3 linked regions of the Callithrix jacchus genome follow. Each later gene encodes a partner of the first gene's protein in a complex. Links are inferred from orthologs where the notes say so. Each region holds a gene or a part of one and is shown in the gene's direction. Other genes may lie near its edges. The genes, in order: SUPT16H, MCM2 and SSRP1.

Evidence for each region.
Region 2: the proteins of SUPT16H (region 1) and MCM2 are in contact, whole or in part, in a crystal structure (PDB 8YJF), measured with the Homo sapiens proteins. The link is inferred for Callithrix jacchus from reciprocal best matches to the Homo sapiens genes SUPT16H and MCM2. Residues at the interface, in NP_009123.1 of Homo sapiens: Gln898, Ser899, Leu900, Asn901, Lys904; in NP_004517.2 of Homo sapiens: Ile73, Gly74, Asp75, Met77, Tyr81.
Region 3: SUPT16H (region 1) and SSRP1 share a complex: the UniProt entries of both Homo sapiens proteins name them as parts of the FACT complex. The link is inferred for Callithrix jacchus from reciprocal best matches to the Homo sapiens genes SUPT16H and SSRP1.

What each region holds. Positions count from the first base shown.
Region 1 is NC_133509.1:55,857,984-55,861,629, reverse strand, and holds part of SUPT16H (FACT complex subunit SPT16), read left to right. Parts: coding exon 1-81; intron 82-557; coding exon 558-685; intron 686-2,288; coding exon 2,289-2,424; intron 2,425-2,529; coding exon 2,530-2,656; intron 2,657-2,968; coding exon 2,969-3,087; intron 3,088-3,586; coding exon 3,587-3,646. UniProt on the Homo sapiens protein: Component of the FACT complex, a general chromatin factor that acts to reorganize nucleosomes. The FACT complex is involved in multiple processes that require DNA as a template such as mRNA elongation, DNA replication and DNA repair.
Region 2 is NC_133516.1:75,791,440-75,795,595, reverse strand, and holds the start of MCM2 (DNA replication licensing factor MCM2), read left to right. Parts: upstream 1-1,353; 5' UTR 1,354-1,392; coding exon 1,393-1,398; intron 1,399-2,814; coding exon 2,815-3,044; intron 3,045-4,156. UniProt on the Homo sapiens protein: Acts as a component of the MCM2-7 complex (MCM complex) which is the replicative helicase essential for 'once per cell cycle' DNA replication initiation and elongation in eukaryotic cells.
Region 3 is NC_133511.1:114,897,663-114,901,308, reverse strand, and holds the end of SSRP1 (FACT complex subunit SSRP1), read left to right. Parts: intron 1-364; exon of another isoform or gene 365-468; intron 469-894; coding exon 895-1,024; intron 1,025-1,463; coding exon 1,464-1,634; intron 1,635-1,825; coding exon 1,826-1,914; intron 1,915-2,412; coding exon 2,413-2,599; intron 2,600-2,783; coding exon 2,784-2,855; 3' UTR 2,856-3,277; downstream 3,278-3,646. UniProt on the Homo sapiens protein: Component of the FACT complex, a general chromatin factor that acts to reorganize nucleosomes. The FACT complex is involved in multiple processes that require DNA as a template such as mRNA elongation, DNA replication and DNA repair.

The sequences.
Region 1 (3,646 bases):
ATCTACATCGATAAGAAATATGAGACTGTAATAATGCCTGTGTTTGGCATTGCAACACCTTTTCACATTGCCACTATCAAGGTACTAACATTGAATGCATCAGGTTTTATCCAAACCATTTCTTAAAATAGGAATTGTATTTGCCATAAATAATCTGCATTGATCACGTCTCCCACAATAGGCTCCTTCAGACTCTGTTCAGTTTACTGACTTTCCTCTTACCCTGTCATTCTCTTTCCTCTTCCAGTTTTTTTCACTTAGTAGAAAGTTGAACTAGTCTAGAAACATGATTTGCCCATCTTTCTTTCAAGTTTACTTAAGCATTATTTAATTTGTAGTTGTTTTCATGGTACAAGGTAGTTTGAGAATTCAGAGATTTTTTTGGGGGGTAAAAAATATTCATTTTTAAAAAGATGAATTATGTAAGTTTATTAGATTGAGATTAAGGTTAAGTGCAGTCAATTTGTAACTCCTAACTTAATTTTAACATCTCTATAACTACTAGTCTCTATTTAGGAAAGAAATCTGTTTACTATTTATGCTTTTCCTTTGAACAGAATATAAGTATGTCCGTGGAAGGAGATTATACTTACTTGCGAATCAACTTTTATTGCCCAGGCAGTGCTCTGGGCAGGAATGAAGGCAACATCTTTCCTAACCCTGAAGCGACTTTTGTCAAGGAAATGTGAGTCCCCACAAAAATAGTTATGCCCAGACCCATCCTGTCTGGAGTGGTACTCAGAAGCATTTCATTCTCTGCTGAATTTTTCCCTACCTAGTAAATGGCAAAGCCTTCCTTATTGATACTTGTTTCACATTGCCTTCTTGACTTTGTACTATTTTCAGATGGTCAATATTTTATTATTTTTTATTTATTTATTTATTTTTGAGACGGAGTTTCACTCTTGTTACCCAGGCTGGAGTGCAATGGCGCGATCTTGGCTCACTGCAACCTCCGCCTCCTGGGTTTAGGAAATTCTCCTGCCTCAGCCTCCTGAGTAGCCGGGATTACAGGCACGCGCCACCATGCCCAGCTAATTATTTGTATTTTTAGTAGAGACGGGGTTTCATCATGTTGACCAGGATGGTCTCGATCTCTTGACCTCGTGATCCACCGGCCTCAGCCTCCCACAGTGCTGGGATTACAGGCTTAAGCCACTGCGCCCGGCCGAATATTTTAAATTTATTAAACATATTTTGAGCCTGGGTAATGTAGTTGAGACCTTGTCTCTACTTAAAAAAAAAAACTTGGCTGGGCACAGTGGTTCATGCCTGTAATCCCAGAACTTTGTGAGGCCAAGGCGGGTGGATCACAAGGTTGGAAGTTTGAGACCAGCCTGGCCAATATGGTGAAACCCCATCTCTACTAAAAATACATAAATTAGCTGGATGTGGTGGCAGGTGTTGGCAATCCCAGCTACTCAGGAGGCTGAGGCAGAAGAATTTCTTGAACCCAGGAGGCAAGGTTGCAGTGAGCCAAGATCACGCCACTGTATTCCAGCCTGGGCAACAGAGCGAGACTCCGTTCCAAAAAAAAAAAAAAAATGATCCAGGTGTGGTAGTGTGCACCCGTCATCCCAGATACTCTGGTGGCTGAGGTGGGATCCCTTGAGCCTGGGAGGTCGAGGCTGCAGTGAGCCGTGATGTTGCCACTGTATTCTAGCCTGAGCAACAGAGCAAGACCTTGTCTCAAAAAAATAGTAATCATGAAAATAAGTGTTAATAAACCTATTTTGCATTAGAAGCCTCAAATAAGAAAATTGGTGCCACATTGGATTCTACAATTTCATGGCGTGAAATGGAATAATTTGGAGATGTTAGGCCAGATTTGAAAAATGAAAATGTGATTTCTCCCACTTCAGTGGACTAGGCGTTTGTAACATTTTTTATTTAAGAAAAAGAAAGGGAATGGGCATGCATGGTGGCTCACACCTGTAATCCTAGCACTTTGGGAGGCAGAGGCAGGCAGATCACATGAGGCCAGGAGTTTGAGACCAACCTGGTCAAGATGGCAAAACTCTGTATTTGCTAAAAATAACAAAAATTAGCTGGGCATGGTGGCATGCACCTGTAATCCTGGCTACTTGGGAGGCTGACATGGGAGGATGGCTTGAACCCAGGAGGCAGAGGTTGCAGTGAGCTGAGATTGGGCGTGGTGACAGAGCCAGACCCTGTCTCCAAAAAAAAAAAAAAAAAATAGAGATTAAGATGCTTATAAGATAAAGTAATCAGTACAGTTTCCCTGGCCTGAAAAAGAAATGTCGATAAATGCTGATGCTTTTCGACAGTACATACCGAGCTTCAAATATTAAGGCACCTGGGGAGCAGACAGTACCAGCCTTGAACCTTCAGAATGCTTTCCGAATTATAAAAGAAGTACAGAAACGTTACAAAACTCGAGAAGCTGAAGAGAAAGAGAAGGAGGTGAGTCTGAACACAGACAAAATATTCTTCTGCAAAGAAGGATATGTATTTTTTGGAGACTTATAAGGATATATGACAATTCACTTTAATTTTCTTCCTGCTTAGGGCATTGTAAAACAAGACTCACTTGTGATCAATCTAAACCGGAGTAATCCCAAACTGAAAGATCTATATATTCGCCCAAATATTGCTCAGAAGAGGATGCAAGGCTCACTAGAGGCCCATGTCAATGGTATGGATAATCTCGTGTGCCTAGGCTTTGTCTTCAGGGGCACATTTGTAGGAATGACAGATCAGATAATAAAGTATGACAAGGAGTCATCGGTCAGTTAGCTGAGTTGAGTAGAGCATGGTGCCAGTAAGGTATGACAAGGAAATGCTGGGAGAAATCTACTTAAACTACTGTATATGGCCAGAAGGAAAGGAAAGCTCTATACAGTTGTTCATGTGTCCTGTGACCCTGTTCAAATCAGCCAGAAGAGTTGCAGTGCCTTCTGGCCTAACCTAACTATACTGCTTGACATTTCTTCATTCTTTTCCCCAGGCTTCCGCTTCACATCTGTTCGAGGAGACAAAGTGGATATATTGTACAATAATATTAAGCATGCTTTGTTCCAGCCCTGTGATGGAGAAATGATTATTGTCCTGCACTTTCACCTCAAGGTATACCTTTCTACTTAACTAGCTATAAGCTCTTGGGCAAGACACTTCATTTCTCTCAGCTTCTTTCCTCCTATAAAATAGTGATGAAAAAATCACCTTTCACATAAGAACCTTAAGATGGTTAAATGAAATAATGCCTCTAATGGCCACAAGGCCTGGCATCTAGACGGTGCTCATAAGCATGTTTGTTCCTTTGATGTGTTGCAATGGCCAGCAAAATATATGAGATCTCCAGATTTCTATTTCTAAAATAAATAGGTTTTGCTTTGGATAAAATTTGTTACCAGCATAATTTCCAAAGTTACTATAATAAGTAAGAGCACTTTTTAAAATGTACACCGTTTTACATTCCCAAGCATCATTATTTGTGATGACACTAGGGATGGTTTAATTATTTCTGCATGCATGCTGTGGAGGCCCATGTTTGGATCACTGCCATTTCCATCACAGATACTTTTGTGTTTCTGACTTTCGTCTTCTTTCTGCTTTATGATGGCAGAATGCCATCATGTTTGGGAAGAAGCGGCACACGGATGTGCAGTTCTACACAGAAGTCGGA
Region 2 (4,156 bases), on another chromosome or scaffold:
CTCTCTTGCTGTCAATCACCAAGACCAATAGACCCCACCTCCTGGCCGGACACGGTGGCTCACACCTATAATCTCAGCACTTTGGGAGGCCAAGCAGGCAGATCACTTCAGGTAAGGAGTTCAAGACCAGCCTGGCCAACATGGTGAAACCCCATCTTTACTAAAAATACAAAAATTAACTGGGCATGGTTCCCAGCTACTCAAGAGAATAGCTTGAACTCGGGAGGCAGACGTTGCAGTGAGCTGAGATCACGCCACTGCACTCCAGCCTGGGCACAGAGCAAGACTCGGTCAAAAAAAAAAAAAAAAAAAAATCCCCACCTCCTAAACATCTTGTATTTCCAGTCCTCTCCTTCACTCCTGCCCCTACCCTGGGTCCATGCAGAAATGCTTGTTCACTGCACAAAGTGTCTAAGAGGGCTGCGATTCAGCCCTGACTCTGCTACTAAGGCCCTATTTTGAGCTGCCTGTAACTAGAAAAGAACCACAGCAACCTCCTCATTTGCTGCCTTTAACCTCGGTCAATCCACTTCCACCTGGTGGCAGCTGGAGGGATTCTAAAACCCACATTGGTTCACGTCTCACCCTGCTCAAAATGCTTCCATGGCCTTCCATTACCTTCAGAATACAGAATGCTCAAACCCTCTAGAAAAACATCGAGCTCTTTTTTGATCTGGATTCTGTCTCCATCAAGTCTTGTCGGTTGCCCGGCGTCACAAGCTTCTAGTCTTAGGGAGGAGTTTAGGGAGGGCTCTTAGTTCTGAGGGAGGGGCTTGCACATTCCCGCTGTGCCGTGCCCTCCGCGGCCTTGCACATGGCATCCTTCTATCTGGAACATCCTCCCTGCATCTTCGCTCCCTTGGACAAAGATAACTCCTACTAAAGCTTCAGTTGTGACCTACAAAATCCCAGAATTGTCCAGCTGCCTGAAGCATTGAGCCTTAGAGCTTTGGGGGCAGTTAAAAAATTCTCATAAGACAATAAGGCGTGAGAAAACCAGGCTCTAAACCTCTGTTGCCTTGTCAGTAAAACGGTCCTGATGTGACCGAGGTCACGCAGCCAGCAGCTGTGGTCGGAGGCCCTGGAGCCGAAGCTTCTACCTCGGCTCAGGCTCCCACGCCAGCGCAGGTGAGCGCACGCGCGCAGCACCCAGCCGCACACTCCCGGCTCCGGCCAGGACAGCTCGGGCGTTGTGGGCGGGACCACCGGACGGCGTGGGCGGGGCAGGACCCTCTAGCCTGCCCCTTCGTGACCCAGCTGGTTGCCAACGAACGTCGACGTCATGACGTCGCGTTCCGTCGGGCGCTTCCCGGGCTTTGGTGGGTCACGTGAGCCACTTTTCGCGCGAAAACTGGTTGTTGTTGGAGTCGAGGAGAGGAGCGGGGTACTGCAATGGCGGTGAGCGCGCGGGAGCGGGGCGGGTGGGGTGGTGCGGACGCCGGGACAGAGGTGTGGAGGCTGCGCGGTTCTCGCACTCTGGCTGTGGTCCGGGTCGGCGCTCTAGGTGAGGTTGAGCCCCAGGCTCCGGGGCGCGGCTGCTTTCCCGCCTGCACCCCGCATGACGCCAGGCCTCCTGGCGACTCGCCTTCCTTGAGCTGATCTGGGGTCTTGGGCTCCCTAACCCGAGCCTGGCCCGCTCAGCCCCTGTCCTTTACTCATCCCACACATGCTTATTTGGCGTATGCCCGGCGCTGAGCGTACAAAAGGCAGGCCCCCATCTCACTATGTAGCTGAGCGTACAAAAGGCAGGCCCCCATCTCACTATGTAGCTGAGCGTACAAAAGGCAGGCCCCCATCTCACTATGTAGCTGGAGCGGCCGCGGGAAAGGATCTCTCCGACACTGAATACAGGAGGAAGGAATTCATTTCAGCTGGGAGCAAGGTGGCATAAGTGCCTAACAGCCAAGCTGGTCTAACAAAGGAAGGTTCAGCTTTTATATAGGCTTATACTTTAGATGTTACATGTGGAAGAATTTTAGATTCATAGTTTTAGGACTCACATGTGAAAAGGTTTTAGTTTACAGTTTCAGGAATCACATATGAGAGGGTTCCGGTTTACAGTTTTAGGACTCACATGTGAAAAGGTTTCTGGGTTGATCTTGTTTTAAGTAAAATTCGTGCCTTCTGGAGAGTTTCCCCAAGGCCTAGCCTGTTGTTTTCAAGGAAGAGCGGAGCAAGGAGGCGCCAGCTGGCCTACTCTCTCTTCTATTGAGATGCACAGTGAATGACAGAGGGGGAGGAAATCCCAAATGCCTGCCTGGGTCTCCCTCCTCATCTACACTTCTTTAAACTTTTAAAAAAATATATTCCCAGTAATCTGTGTTCTGAACACTACACTTAACTATCGTAGTATTTTCTTGCTCCTTTGTCTTCTGTACTGACTCTTCCACGTCGGAGTTCCAGACTCCTTGTTTTGGTGGCTCTTGTATGCCATCTATCTCTGTCACAATACCTCTCGCACTGTGTGTGCTGAAACAGGTCGAATGCATAAGGGGGAGACAATAGACAGTAAACAGGTAAATAAGCAAATGACAAAGCCTCTGGTTTTTCATGGAGAAAGCATGGTGATATGAGTGACCCGATATTTGAGCTGGCTCCTGTTTGGAAGCCACTGGCTCAGACTGCTCAGCAGAGAGCATTCCAGGTGAGAGACCAGCAAGTGCAAAGATCTGGAGGCTGGAAGGGGTTTGGTGTGTTGGAGGACAAGACTCACAGGTGGTGAGATAGGAGGGAAGTCCCCCTGATGATAAAAAGGAAGCTGTATCATGCCTCACCGGCCTCCTAGGTTTCTGATAGTGACACCTTCTCTTGCAGGAATCATCGGAGTCCTTCACCGTGGCATCCAGCCCGGCTAGGCGTCGGCGAGGCAATGATCCTCTCACCTCCAGCCCTGGCCGGAGCTCCCGACGCATTGATGCCCTGACCTCCAGCCCTGGCCGTGACCTTCCACCCTTTGAGGATGAGTCTGAGGGGCTCCTAGGCACAGAGGGGCCCCTGGAGGAAGAAGAGGATGGAGAGGAGCTCATTGGAGATGGCATGGAGAGGTAATTTCATTCAAAGCCCTGGACTCAGCAGATAGTTTTGCAGAGATCCCATTGTGCGTTTGGTGGCCTTGTTATGGGAGCTGGGGGGAGATGAATCCGATGGCATTCTTGCCTTTGAGCACAGCTTGGTCCAGCGTTGTGGGGAGACAGGTTTACAGAGCCATGGCATAGGTCTCTTTAGCTTGGTCCAGTGTTCTGGGGAGACAGGTTTAGAGAGCAATGACATAGGTCTCTAACTTACTGTATGTAACTTGCAGAGACTAGACCCTAAGGTCTCGGTAAGCCCAACTCCATAAGCACCCCAGAAAATGCAGGGGCCTCTAATCTGGAGGACTCCAATAGGACACAGCAACTCAAAAAGACAGGAAGCAGTGTAGGGTTGTGGGGTGTCCCTTATGCTGTGCTGAGGCGCAGGATCTGAGAAATAGGACAAAGAAGTACAAGGAAAACGCAGCTGGGCTTGAGGGGCCACGCCACCTATGAGCGGAGTCAGGCGAGGCCCCGAATGTTCAGAAGCGTATTTATTGTGAATAGGTTAGGGGGCAGGGCAGTGAGTGAAATCATCTTTAAGGATAGTGATAGGGTCGTGAGCAATAAAACAAGGGGTCTCCCCCCATTAGGTCACCTAGGCTAGGAGATGGACAGTGCGCAGCAAGGGGTCCATTCCCATTAGGTCCTCAAGGCATGGAGGTGGGCAGTGCGCAGTGAAGAGGGTGCAGTGTACAATACCTCTATTTATGGGCAAATTACTTCCATGAAGATTGAAGTTACACAGTAACGACAGAGCTATCAGCGTTACCGCCACCTGCTGGCAGCTTCCAGTGAGTTCTACAGGAAGATGCTTTTCGAGCAGCATAGTAACAAGAGCTGATCAAGTTCACAGTCACCAAGGTGCGATTGCTGGTCTGAGGGCAGCCTTCCACAATAACTGGAGCAAGGTCCTACAACTCCTTTATCAGGAGGAGTGGCTCTTGCCCCAAGCCTGCCATACAGCAGGTATCTTTATGAAACTGAATGCTGCTGCCTGGGCCATGGATTCTTGTCCTGGTATAACTGTGTTTCCCTTAAATCGGCTTTGCACTGTGTCTGCTCTAGGCATTCCTCCCAACTAT
Region 3 (3,646 bases), on another chromosome or scaffold:
AGAAATAGGCCAAGTGCCCACCCTTAGAGCCTGTGGTTGGGGTTGCCCCCACTCTGGTGGTTCCCAACAGAATATTGGGAGTCTGCTCTCTTAATCCAGAAGTATTGCAAAAGAATGTCGGGCACCAAAAAAACCCAACAGGGGTCCACTAGTTCAGCTTGCCACATGCTTATGAAAGTTTAATGAGCAAATACTTGCGAAAGTGCCTTGAAAACTGTCCAGCAGCATATTCCATTTTTGAGAAGTTTCACATATATCAAATAAGACTGTCAATTACAGGGGTCTGTACTGGGTCAAACTGAAGTTGGTTTTCCTCTTTCTGTAGTAACTGATTATTTTTTATCAGAAAAGACTGTAGGGGCCGATCCTTTCATAGTTCATAAACATGATGGCTGGGTGTTCACGTGCGTGTGTGAAGCATGCCATCCTCCAGCCTTGTTATGACCTCGGCACATTACCCATCTGACAAGAGAAAAAAAAAAAAGACTGTAGGGTAGATTAAAACGATTACTCCAAAGGAAGTGGTAAAGTGGATTTTGGCTATGTTCCAGGCAAGAATGAGGCAGTGTTTCTGCCCATGGGGTCCTGGGGATGGACATGGAACCGGTTTGGCCATGCCCAGGGAGAGCAGCAGAAGCCCACTGATTGATTTGTTTTTCATTAATTAATTCATCAAGTAAGCCATTACTGTGGTTGGGTCTGGAGAGAGCATGGTTGACGCCACCTGAGTGAATGGGAGGAAGCAGTGTTAGGGATGGGTGGTGCACGCTGTCCTCTGGCCTTCCTCTCTTGCCCCTTTTGGGTGGGTATCTTTGGATTTGTTTTCCTCCTGTCCCGAGGCCGTGGGATGCTGTCCTTCCTCCCCAAGTCTAAGCCTGGCTTGCCCTCTGGTAGGTTTGACAGCAATGCCTCTGCCAGCTCTTCCAGTAATGAGGGTGACAGTGACCGGGATGAGAAGAAGCGGAAACAGCTCAAAAAGGCCAAGATGGCCAAGGACCGCAAGAGCCGAAAGAAGCCTGTGGAGGTGCAGACTGTAGATGGGAGGGGTCGTGTGTGGTGTGCAGGGGTGGGAGGCATTCGCTTTACCTTTTCCTGTCCACCACCAGTAGGAACCTGTTCATTGGTCTTCCTTGGGGCTGTTTTTTGTAGCCAGTGATTATAACCTTGAGGGGTACTTTCTTGGAAATTTTTCTCACTAGCCCTGAGATTATTAAGCTTCTAGAAGATTTGAATTAGGAGATGGGCTTCTGTCCCAGGAGCCCAGAGGAAAGGGGGCCCCTGGTAAGCTAAGCACTGAGCTGCAGAGAGGAAGGGGATGCTATCCTTGCCATTAACAAGCTCTCATCTAGCCTGATGCTATTTAGTCCTCTACTTTTTCTCCAGGTTAGGTGATCTAAATAACTTCTTTGGGAAAATGTAGGGTTCTATGGGAAATTGCTGAAGGCATTTGGGTTCTTATGTAGGTGAAGAAGGGCAAAGACCCCAATGCCCCCAAGAGGCCCATGTCTGCCTACATGCTGTGGCTCAATGCCAGCCGAGAGAAGATCAAGTCAGACCATCCTGGCATCAGTATCACGGATCTTTCCAAGAAGGCTGGCGAGATCTGGAAGGGAATGTCCAAAGAGAAGAAAGAGGTGAGTGGCAGCAGAGGAAGGATGATGCATCTCATGGGCTGGCAAGGGGTGCTGTCTTGGGGTGGTGAGTCTCAGGACTGATGGGGAGCAGTAGGAGCCATTGGCGGGACTTTGTGTATTGATTTTGCCTGTATCAGGGGAGAGGGGAGAGGTCTTATTCTTTGCTATATTTTTCTGTGTTTGTGAGACAGGAGTGGGATCGCAAGGCTGAGGATGCCAGGAGGGAATATGAAAAAGCCATGAAGGAATATGAAGGTGGCCGAGGCGAGTCTTCTAAGAGGTGAGTATCAAGAACATGGACCAGTAACTTGATTTTTGTGGCAGATTTTTTTTTTTTTTACAGGCTGATTTAGGTAGTGCTTCTCAAACCTGGGTAGGCCATTGCCCAAGTATTGGGTATTACGATAGGACATTCAGGTCATTAGGGAAATATGGCCCATTTTCCTGGACCATTTTATTTGAAGGTATGGGGGAATGAAAAAAAAAATACTATGATGGAGTGCAATACACAATTCACATGAAATTTAAAAAGTAAAGCAAGAAATGTCAAGTAGGCTTTGCATATGGGGCTGCTTTAGGCTATGCCCTCTAATCCTTCTGGTGTGCTCATGATATTCTCCCTTGGTGCCCTTCAGACTGACACGGCTATTTATGTTCAGAGTGAAATGGGTGGTGTGGCTGGGATCGGGAAAGGCCTTGTTGAAGCTGGGAGAGGTCTGGCCATGCTGAGAGTGAGGGGATCCGAAGGCCCAGCTCCTCTTCCCTCTTGCCAAAACAGGGACAAGTCAAAGAAGAAGAAGAAAGTAAAGGTAAAGATGGAAAAGAAGTCCACACCTTCTAGGGGCTCATCATCCAAGTCGGCCTCAAGGCAGCTAAGCGAGAGCTTCAAAAGCAAAGAGTTTGTGTCTAGTGATGAGAGCTCTTCTGGAGAGAACAAGAGCAAAAAGAAGAGGAGGCGGAGCGAGGTGCGGCAGGAACGTGGGGACTCTGGGCTGGGCAGTGCGAGGGGTAATGAGTCGGAGTGGATGGTGGAATTCCGAGGTTGTGAGGGTGGGTGCTGCAGCTGGGGGGCGGTAGGGAATTGTGGGCCCTTCACTGAAGAGTGGCTGGGACCCCCACCTTTTCCCTTAAGACAACTTTGGTTTTCAGGACTCTGAAGAAGAAGAACTAGCCAGTACTCCCCCTAGCTCAGAAGACTCAGCGTCAGGATCCGATGAGTAGAAACGGAGGAAGGTTCTCCTCTTTGCGCTTGCCTTCTCACAACCCCCGACTCCCCACCCATATTTTGGTACCAGTTTCTCCTCATGAAATGTAGTCCCTGGATTCTGTGCCATCTGAACACGCTCTCCTGCTGGTGTGTATGTCACTAGGGCAGTGGGGAGATGTCTTAACTCTGCTGCTTCCCAAGGATGGCCGTTTATTATTTGGGGAGAGATAGGGTGGGAGGCAGGGCAATGCAGGATCCAAATCCTCATCTTACTTTCCCGACCTTAACGATGTAGCTGCTGCTTGTCCTGTTCAAGTTGCTGCAGCAGAGGTCATGTGAGGCCAGGCCTGTAGCTCCTACCGGGGGCCTATTTCTACTTTTATTTTGTATTTCTGGTCTGTGAAAATCATTTAATAAAGGGAACTGACTTTGGAAACAATGTCCTTCTGCTTTCTTCGTAGCCCTGGTGCATTGCTCCCACTTTTATTGGTGGTGGATACTGCTCTGCCCACATTGGGCAGAGGCTTCCTGGCCAGCCAGGAAGTAAGTCTCCAGGTACATCATGGTCTGTTCCCGGCTGGACAAACATTGGTTTTCACCCTCTTCTGCCGGGATGGGCCACCTGAGAGTCTAGAAATGAGAGCTGATCCGATTAGGAAGTCTCCCAGTTACACTCCATTAGCCAAGCTAGGGGGAGGCAGCTCTTGGCTGCATCCTTATCTATGAGTCAAGCAAGGGTCTTCCAAGGCTTTAGATAATGAAATCAGGATTGACTGCCTTCCCGCAGCCGGAGGAGTGGAAACCT